2 linked regions of the Mus musculus genome follow. The protein of the gene in region 2 interacts with the protein of the main gene of each other region in a pairwise test. Links are inferred from orthologs where the notes say so. Each region holds a gene or a part of one and is shown on either strand. Other genes may lie near its edges.

The links.
Region 1: the proteins of Tbl1xr1 (region 2) and Arl2 interact in binary tests that used the Homo sapiens proteins (3 or more experiments, as listed by UniProt). The two-hybrid records come from large-scale screens. The link is inferred for Mus musculus from reciprocal best matches to the Homo sapiens genes TBL1XR1 and ARL2.

Annotation. Positions count from the first base shown.
Region 1 is NC_000085.6:6,138,300-6,142,849, reverse strand, and holds the start of Arl2 (ADP-ribosylation factor-like protein 2), read left to right. Parts: upstream 1-1,712; 5' UTR 1,713-1,748; coding exon 1,749-1,813; exon of another isoform or gene 1,814-3,220; intron 3,221-4,550. UniProt on the Homo sapiens protein: Small GTP-binding protein which cycles between an inactive GDP-bound and an active GTP-bound form, and the rate of cycling is regulated by guanine nucleotide exchange factors (GEF) and GTPase-activating proteins (GAP).
Region 2 is NC_000069.6:22,075,173-22,079,664, reverse strand, and holds the start of Tbl1xr1 (F-box-like/WD repeat-containing protein TBL1XR1), read right to left. Parts: upstream 3,014-4,492; 5' UTR 2,711-3,013; intron 2,356-2,710; exon of another isoform or gene 2,238-2,355; intron 1-2,237. UniProt on the Homo sapiens protein: F-box-like protein involved in the recruitment of the ubiquitin/19S proteasome complex to nuclear receptor-regulated transcription units. Plays an essential role in transcription activation mediated by nuclear receptors.

The sequences.
Region 1 (4,550 bases), on a different chromosome or scaffold from region 2:
AACCATATTCCCATAAGACTTCTATGTTTTTTTAAAAAAAACAAAAAGTCTCAGTACAATTTTCCTTGTGGAGGAACCCACACACGCACACATGCACCCATGCATGCACAAACACGCATATGTGCACACATTCAAGAACACATATATGGTTACAATTAAATAGAACCCTAGCTCTGCCCGGTAGTGGTGGCGCATGCCTTTAATCCCAGCACTTGGGACGCAGAGGCAGGCGGGTTTCTGAGTTCGAGGCCAGCCTGGTCTACAGAGTGAGTTCCAGGACAGCCAGAAAGAAAGAGAGAAAAACCTACACAGAGAAAACCCCTGTCTCGGAAAAAGCAAAAACAAACAAAAAACAAAAAAAGAGAAACTAACTCTTTGGGCCAGTGAGAAATCTCACCAATTAAAAAAAAAAAAAAAAAAAAAAAAAAAAAAAAAAAAAAACTTGCTGAGAAAGTCTGATGCTAAATTCCCTGCCTGGAACCCACATAAAAGTGCGACAATCGGGGCTGGAGAGATGGCTCAGCGGTTAAGAGCACTGACTGCTCTTAACCTGAGTTCAAATCTCAGCAACCACACCGGTGGCTCACAACAACCTATAATGAGATCTGATGCCCTCTTCTAAGGGGTCTGAAGACAGCTACAGTGTACTTACATATAAATTAATCTTAAAAAAAAAGTGTGAGAATCAGCTCCACAAAGTTGTCCTCTGATCTCCAGTGGTATGTGCAGACACGCGCGCGCGCACACACACACACACACACACACACATACAGAGTTTACACACAACAATGATGATTGTTTTGAGACAGGGTCTCAGATGTGTAGCCCTTTCTGTCCTCAATATATATACAGACCAGGCTGCCCTCAAACTCACAGAGATCCACTTGTCTATGCCACCCAGGCATTGGAATTAAAGATATGTGCCAACACAACCAGCAAAGAAAAAAAAATTTTTTTTAAAGAACTCTTGTCAAAGTCATTTACTGAAGATAATCTGATTGTACAGCTAGTACATGCCAGCAGCCATGAGGCTAAGCACCAGGTGGGCTTCAGGTTTTTTATCGTTGTTTTTTGAGACAGGCTCTGCCCTGCCAGTTTTATCCTAACAGTTGGGATAGAGCGTCTCAACCTGATAGGGTCCTAGATAGCACTCAATCCTTTGTGCGGGTCTGGTCCCTGCATTGCGGGGAGCTTGGAACTCTAAACAACCCAAGGAGGCCATACTGTCCGCACATTTAGAAATGGCCCCTAGGGGGAGTCATCATCCTCAAGTGAACGCACAGAGCCATTTCCGACAGAGTCCCGGACCAGGACCAACGGTTTTCCGTCACTGGTAAATGAATGGAAGTCACAAGATGCACTGGTGGGAACCGTATTACAGTCCCCGGATGATTCGTCAGCTCTTTGTGGAACCAGATTCCGACTCCTAGCTCAGAATCTCTTCGCGGCTACTCCCTACCCAGACGAGATACTGCTCGAGAAAGTCAGCCTCTGTCTGGCATCCGACCGAGGCCTCGGAGTCGGAAGGCTTAGGGACTTCTCCCTTGTCCCCACCAACCCTCTGCCTTCCCGACAAGGGTTAACGCAGCAGGCTTCAAAGTCGCCGCAGCGCCTCTAGGGGGCGACGCCCTGCACTCCTGTGGTCACGTGACAACGAGGGCGGCCACAAGCGCCAGGCTGGCCAATAGGAGACGGGAGCGGGGTCCCGGGACTAGAAGAAACGGCGGCCGGGAGGGGGCTACGGGATCATGGGGCTTCTGACCATTCTGAAGAAGATGAAGCAGAAAGAGCGAGAGCTGCGGCTGCTCATGCTGTATCCTCCGAGCGCTAGAGCGGTCGCGAGGGTAGCGGGGCCCGCCGGGTGGGCGGAGCCGGGCGTGGGGGGGCGCGGCCGCCGTGGGTACCTATTGCCGGTGGTGCGTCACGCACGCGGCGCTACCACTGCTCGGCGCGGGGCCGGGGAGGGCCGTACCACTCTGCGGGGTGGGGGTTGGCGTGCAGAAGGCAGCCCGGTGGTCTCAAGGCCCGGCCTAGACTTGGGACTCCAGTATCACTGCGAGGCGCGACGCAGTGGTGGTGACTCGGACGTCACGCTGCCTCGGGCTGGCCCGAGCGTGGGCCCTGCTCCTCCCTGGCGCTGACCCCCTCCCCTTCATCTACGGGTGTAGGCCTTGGCGCTTCCCTTAGGGTCGGAATCCCAGGGTCTCGAGGACCGCCTAGGCTCCTGCGAGTAGGCGTGGACTCGGTTGGCCACAGGTCCCGCTGTCACTTAAGGCCACCAGCGACCTTTCACCGCATTAACTGGCACCTGCATCACCCGTCTTGCACTGTGCCGGGCCACCTAGGCATCTGCGATCCACAAAGTAGCAGAGGGAGAAAAGGAAATTTAATGTGCACGTAGAACTTTACCACTCGTGCGTGTTTTAGACAATTCTGAGAAAGACACTCATTAGATGACCTCCAAGCACCTATGTTAGGGAATTCGGTAAAACAGGGAAGCGAAAAAGGCTTCATTTCAGATATTCTGTGATGAAAGGGGAGAAAAAATTGATAAAGCAAGTAAGATATGTAGTGTAGGATGAGAAGAATAGAGTCCACAAGGAGGTAGAGAGAGCTGGGAAAACGTAAGCAGAGGACCTGCAAGTGCGAAGGCCCTGGAGGAGGATAAGACAGGCATGTTCAAGAAAGGTTGAGAAGGAAAGAGCTGGAGAGAGGGAGAGCCCATGGGCTGGGGCCATTTAGGCAGCTGGACTATGAAGGGAGCACAGGATGGTGGCTTAGACCATGGTGGTAGTAGGAGAGTATTATGACTTGCTGCTGAATGGGAGAAGACAATGAGGGAGATGTAGCCAAGCATGAACTGGTCTCTGGCCAGAGTGTTCAGAAGGACAAGGAGCCACTTGCTGAGATGAGAGACGCATGTCCCTGGGAAGACACCAACCCTGACTGTTGGGCAGGTAGGTAGCAGCCATCAGCCTAGAAACGATCATGGGATGGCCCAGCTGGGGAGTGCTGAGACCCAGGTGTAGACGCTTGTGTGAAGTCAGATGAGGGTAACAGGATGGGGTCTGGGAGAGGGCCAAGGAAAGAGCAGCAGCGCCCGGAGCAGAGCAGAAGCTGGGCCACCCGGCCAGTGGAGAGCAGTAAGGGGGTCTTCGGAGACCTACCTGGCAAAGTGAGGCTTCAGGAAGCATCAGGAGCCAGTCTGCTAACAGTAGACCTGTAGAAAGCAAGAGGCTAAGTAAAACTGGTGCAGTGGTGAAGAACCAGGGAACAGGGGTTCAGTGCCCAGTACCCACTTGGTGCTTCACAGCCTTGTGTAACTTCAGTCCTGAGGTCCTCGTGTAGGCAAAAACTCAAAATATTCTAAGCAAACAAAAAATGAGCATGGTATCGAACACCTCGAATGCCAGCGTTCAGAAGGTAAAGGCAGGTGAATCTACGGGCTTGAGTCCAACCCGGTCTACAGAGCAAGTTCCAGGCCGGCCAAGGCTACATAGACCTTGTCTCAAAAAAAAAAAAAACCAAAATGCAGGAAAAGTCCAACATGGTGTTACATGCCTGTAGTTCTGGCACTCAAGAGGCAGAGGCTGGAGAACTTTGACAAGTTTGAGGCCAGTTTGCGTTACATAGAGTTCCAGACAAAAAAAACAAAACAAAAGAAAACAAACAAACAAACAAAAACAATACAAGCCAAAAGATGGAAGTTGGTACAATGGAGTATAACACCTGTTCCCAGGATGCACCCCAGAGGAAGCTGTGGCCGACTCAGCAGATGGTGGGGGAGTGGGTGGAGACAGGTTCTGCTGCAGTAGTGCGCAGCACTCGAGGCGTGAGGCGAGAGTTTGGTGATGAGAGGAGAAGGGATGGAAGAGTGGATGTTGTTGGATTGACAAGACAATCTGCTGGCTTTCCAAGGTGAGAGTTGGGCTGCAGAAGGTGGAAGGTATTCACCCGTGCCTCTCAAAGGTGGGAGTCACAGAGCCAGAGTCAAGTGAGTAGGAAGAGGTCCTAAATGTAGAGCCTGTCCCTTCTCCCCTCCGCTCAGGCTTTGGCTGCCCCACAGTCTCACCTGCGGTTGAGCTCACCTATTGGCTTGTTCTCTGCAACGGAGGCTGTGGATCATTCCAGAGACAGATGAAGGTGGTTGCCACCTCTAGATACTTGCCCTTTACTTGGTCCTTCAGAAGGCTGGGCCCATCTGTTTTGGGCCTCAAGACCCCACAGAGCCTTGTCTGGTATCTTAAGTTGAAAGCCATTCCTTCCAGGAATGTCCTTCACTGGTTCCAAGTACCCAACCTTCTCTTCTGCTTTATTTAGTCTTTAATTTTTTTTTTTTAAAGATTTATTTATTTATTATATGTAAGTACACTGTAGCTGTCTTCAGACACTCCAGAAGAGGGCGTCAGATCTCCTTACGGATGGTTGTGAGCCACCATGTGGTTGCTGGGATTTGAACTCCGGACCTTCGGAAGAGCAGTCGGGTGCTCTTACCCACTGAGCCATCTCACCAGCCCTAGTCTTTAATTTTTTAACACTTATTTATGGAT
Region 2 (4,492 bases):
GACAGGCAGTGTGACAGGCAGTGTGACAGGCAGTGTGACAGGCAGTGCCTCCTCACACCTTCCTGGAGGTGGCTCAGGCAGAGTCCCTGTCCTTGTCCAGATGTCTGGCAAAAAGGCAATAAACTGTACAATTACTAAGTAGGATGCCACCAACATAAGTCGTCAGACCTCCTGACCATCATCCCAAGGCTCTGTTGATGGCAGTTCAGCAAGCAAGGTGAAGGCCTTCTTGCTACACAACCCCAGGTCTGAGGACAAAATGTAAATGTCTCCTGCTCACTGTTTCCTCTTCCCACTTCAGGGATGTACATACACTGTAAATATTTCTGAAAATGAGTCAAATTCACATGTACTAGAAAAACAGTTGTAAGCAGAGCCAATGTTTCTGCCATCTCTCTCAGTGTTAATGTAAGTATCAAACCTTAACAAATAGTTTCAGCTCCATCCACACCTGCTCAGTGAATGTCCACAGTAGCCAGCCATCCTTGGAGAAACTGTGTGGAGACCACTCTGCAGTTACACTTCATCGCTGTAAGTGAACTAGGACATTTACTCAACAGGTTCAAGTGTCAAAGGTCCATGTGTCAGCCCCTTTTCATCAGAGACCCCATGTTTATAAAGCTGTAGCGACCTAGCTCGCTAGCTTGAAAGCTTACCAGTTTCACAGGAAGCAGTTATTTCTGGTTCTCTGGCAGACAGGTATTATGATAATCAGTCTTGCAAAAACCTTAATTAGATGGAGACTACAAGTATCAAAAGAGGTTCTTGGGTTTATATAAAAAGTTAAAATGTTTTATTGGTCTTCAACAAAATACAATATCAAGGTTGGGCAGTAGCTCATTGGTAGAGCACTTATCTATCAGGAGTGAGGCTCTAGGCTCAATTCCCAACACTACCAAAAAAAAAAAAAAAACCACCCACACACTCCATTTACCACCAGTCTCCTATGCTAACAACATGTACAGATTAGAAGTGTGCTTCAAAGACAGGGTCAACTGCAAGAATTCTGAAGACGTTAACAAGTTAATGAAGTTGCTTAGCTTTTTTTACACATATTTTCTTTCCTCACAGGGTTGGCGTGTTCGTCCTAAATTCTAGAGATCTGAGTTTACAAACTAAAGGTAAGACAAGTAATTTGAGTGTTTAGTGTTTGCGATTACAGACTTCATCCCATGCAGGGCAGCAAAACTAAGAGAGAAATAGTCAAAGCAGCAGAGAAGCCTCCATTTAGACACGAAGGGCACACAGGACCTGCCCAACCCCTTTCAGGCAGGCTGGCGACCTACCGCCCCTCCCCCATAGCTAAATGCCAACTGTTTCTAGAACTCTCAGTGATAATTTGGGAAGTTTGCCATTAACTCCCACGATTCAATCCAACTGATACACAGTGTTTTTGTGCAGATAAAGATGCCCTACTTCCCCAGACTATAAACTTATTAAAGTGGCGAGAACATACAGTCCCAGGAAGTCAGGATTACTGAAGTGCTCCAATAAGCATGGGTCTTATTTAACAAAACTGAACGTGAATCACACAGGGAAACCCAAAACTCATTTACTACCTTCAATGGGCCACCAAGATACTGCAAAGCACTTTAGCTAAGTTAAATCAGTAAGACATGGCCTTGTATTGTTTTACACTGATGGGGGGCTTTCAATCTCAAGATTCAAACTAGAAATAACACATCATTTCATCCACCGTACTTTATTAACATGTTTAGACCAGCATAAGGTTCTTATATGGAAAAACAAGAAAGCCAACAGTAAACTTCCCTAATTAACTGTAAATGGCATATAACCCTTCACCCTGGGGCCGATAAAGTCCAACCAAGGTTTTAAGAAAACTCCAGACTGTTAAAGAAATGTAATGTTTAGCTATGTTCCAACTCTTCTGTGTGATCACCAAATTATTTTCAGTGTTGGGTAACCTAACAAAGAGAGCGTTTCTTAAAAGCCACCCAACCCAAATGTTACACAGAACAGACCATTTTCACAACCTAAATTTAATCCAAATTGAGAACTTCCAAAATTACCGAACACTCTAACACATGCATGATTCGCCTCGAGCTGCCTTTCAACGTGGAATTACACTTAAATGAAAGTCAGCCCCTGTTCCAAAAAAAAAAAAAAAAAAAAAAAAAAGACATCGGTTGCAAAGAGGAAGTCACCCAGCAAACACTCACAACGTGGCTCTATACTGTCAGAAGATAATGTGACTTGTGTGCCACCCCGAAACTTACCAGGAAGCTGGCAATAAGTTTGCCAACTGTATACACTTCTGACCCAACTTTACCGAGGCTGTGGCCAGGGCCTCCTCGTGGGGAGGCCACAGGCACAAGGTGCCCACACTCGCGTCCTGAGTGAGCGAGGCCCGGCCGCGCCCCTCCCCCGCCCGCGCCCCAACAGCCGCCCGCGGTCCCCGCCGCCGCCCGGGGTCTCCGCGCGCCACAGCCCGAGGGGTGCGCGACCGGGCGACTGCAGCCCGCGCGCCCGAGCGCGGACCAGCACCCATCCTGAGCCCTGGCCGCTCCCCCGCTATGTGAGCACAGGGCGGCTGCGGCCCCGCATCCAGCCTGCGCCCCCAAGCCCGCTCGCCTGGGCCCAGTGCCTCCCGCAGCCACCCCGACCCGGGGGGGCAGCACGTGAGCGCAGCCGCCCCTCCCCCGCGCCCAGGCCAAGTTCGCGGCGCCCGCAGCCCCGGGCCCGCGCTCACCTGCTTGGCGACGCTGTCCCCTCCAGGACGCGCGGCGCTCCCCTCCTGGCCGCCGTCGGCACCCCGAGGCGCCCTGGGGTGCGGGCGCTGACAGCCGGGCAGCGGGTCCGGCGGGGGAGGGGCGCGGGGGCAGGGCGCAGCACCGAGGCAGGAGGGGAGCTGTTACTAAGGGAGAGAGCCAAGCGCGCGAGCGGCCAACGGCTCCGGCTCGGCACCGGGGAGCGCGGGGACCAGCCAGGCACAAATGAGCTCCGGGCCCGCGGCGGCGACGGCCGCGCAGCAAAACAAACCCGAGCGGCCTGCGCCCGGCGCGCGGGGAGGGAGGAGGGAACAGGGAGCGAGGAGGGGGAGGGGTAGAGGGGGAGGGGGTGGAGGGGGAGGGGAGGAGGACCCGAGGAGGGGGAGGGGAGACGAGGGGAGCGGAGGGGTGGGGCGCGCCCGGAGGGGGAGGGGAGGAAGTGAGGAGGACCCGGGAGGGGGAGGGGAGCGGAGCCGGGTGGTGGAAGAGAAGGAGAGCTGGGCGGGGGAGGGGAGCCTGGAGGAGGAGTGGGGAAACGGGTTGTGGAGGGGGAAGGGAGCCCCGAGAAGGAGAGGCGAGGGGGAAGGGAGCCTGAGCCTGGGAGGGGGAGGGGAACCTCGACGGGGAGGGGGACCTGGGAGGGGGAACTTAGAGGGAGGAGCGCCGGAGTGGGGGAGGGGCGCGGCGGAGGGGCGGGGCCGCGGTGGAGGCAGCGCGGCGGTGGCGGTGGGGGTGGCGGCCGACGAGCCGTTCCACACTCGGCTTCCTCACTCGCTCCGCTCTCCCTCCACCCAGCCTCCCTCGCTCGCTCGCGGCGCTGGGGGCTGGGCTCGCCGCGCATTCGTTCCAGAGCCCGCAGCCGGGGCTGTCCCGCTGCCTGGGTGGCGCTTGAGTCCCTTCGCCCGCAGCAATCCCGCGAGCCGCGGCCGCTCCGATCCCCGGAGGCGGCCGGCAGCTGCGGGAGCTCGGCGCGGGCTCCACATGGACTCCGCGTTCAAAGTGCCGCACACTTGGATGCGCGTAAACACGCCCGCTCCGGAGCGTACCTGGAAAGGTGCTTCGCCTGCCGTGAGCGAGTTCTAGGATGGGACCCGGAGCACCGCGCGTGGGGAGACGCGCAGCGCGCACGGCGAGAGGGGTTTGGTGAAAACGCAAAGCTGAAATTGAAGTTGTGCGCCCAAATGTGCGACTTGTCTGCGGGTCTTTTGGGAAGGTTTGATGGATCAGTTCTCATTGCGCGAAAATAAAGCCATAGACAGAATGAATGTTCACTAAGTGTGCACCGCGGTGTGATATCCACGGGAGTTTATATTATCTACTTTCTGCATGCGTCTGGCACGTGAAGGCGGTTTCTGAAGTACAGTTTGGCTGCCCAATAATGTCAAAATGTGGCTGCCGGAGCGCCGAGGATTTTTAAAATACTGCGGTGACCTTCCTGAGCCTTTCAGAAACCTGGGCTGTAAGAGGCACCCTTCCTTTTAATTCTAGCATATATCTTGAAACTCTGCTTTTTTGTTACTATCTTTAAAAATACTTTGCAACCTTCTTTGGTGAAAGGTTCTAGTTTCAAGTTGTCAAAACATTTGGAAACGTGTATTCCTGTCAAGCAGTGGTCTTCCTTTAGTGCTTCAAAGATAAATTTTCAAACAAAGTATCATTTGAAGTAACTTTCACAGCTATAGACTGTGCAGCCTAACAAACTCCGAGACTAGATTAGATTTGGTTCAGCCAAGGTCAATGACTCTCCCCTGTTGGCCCCTCCC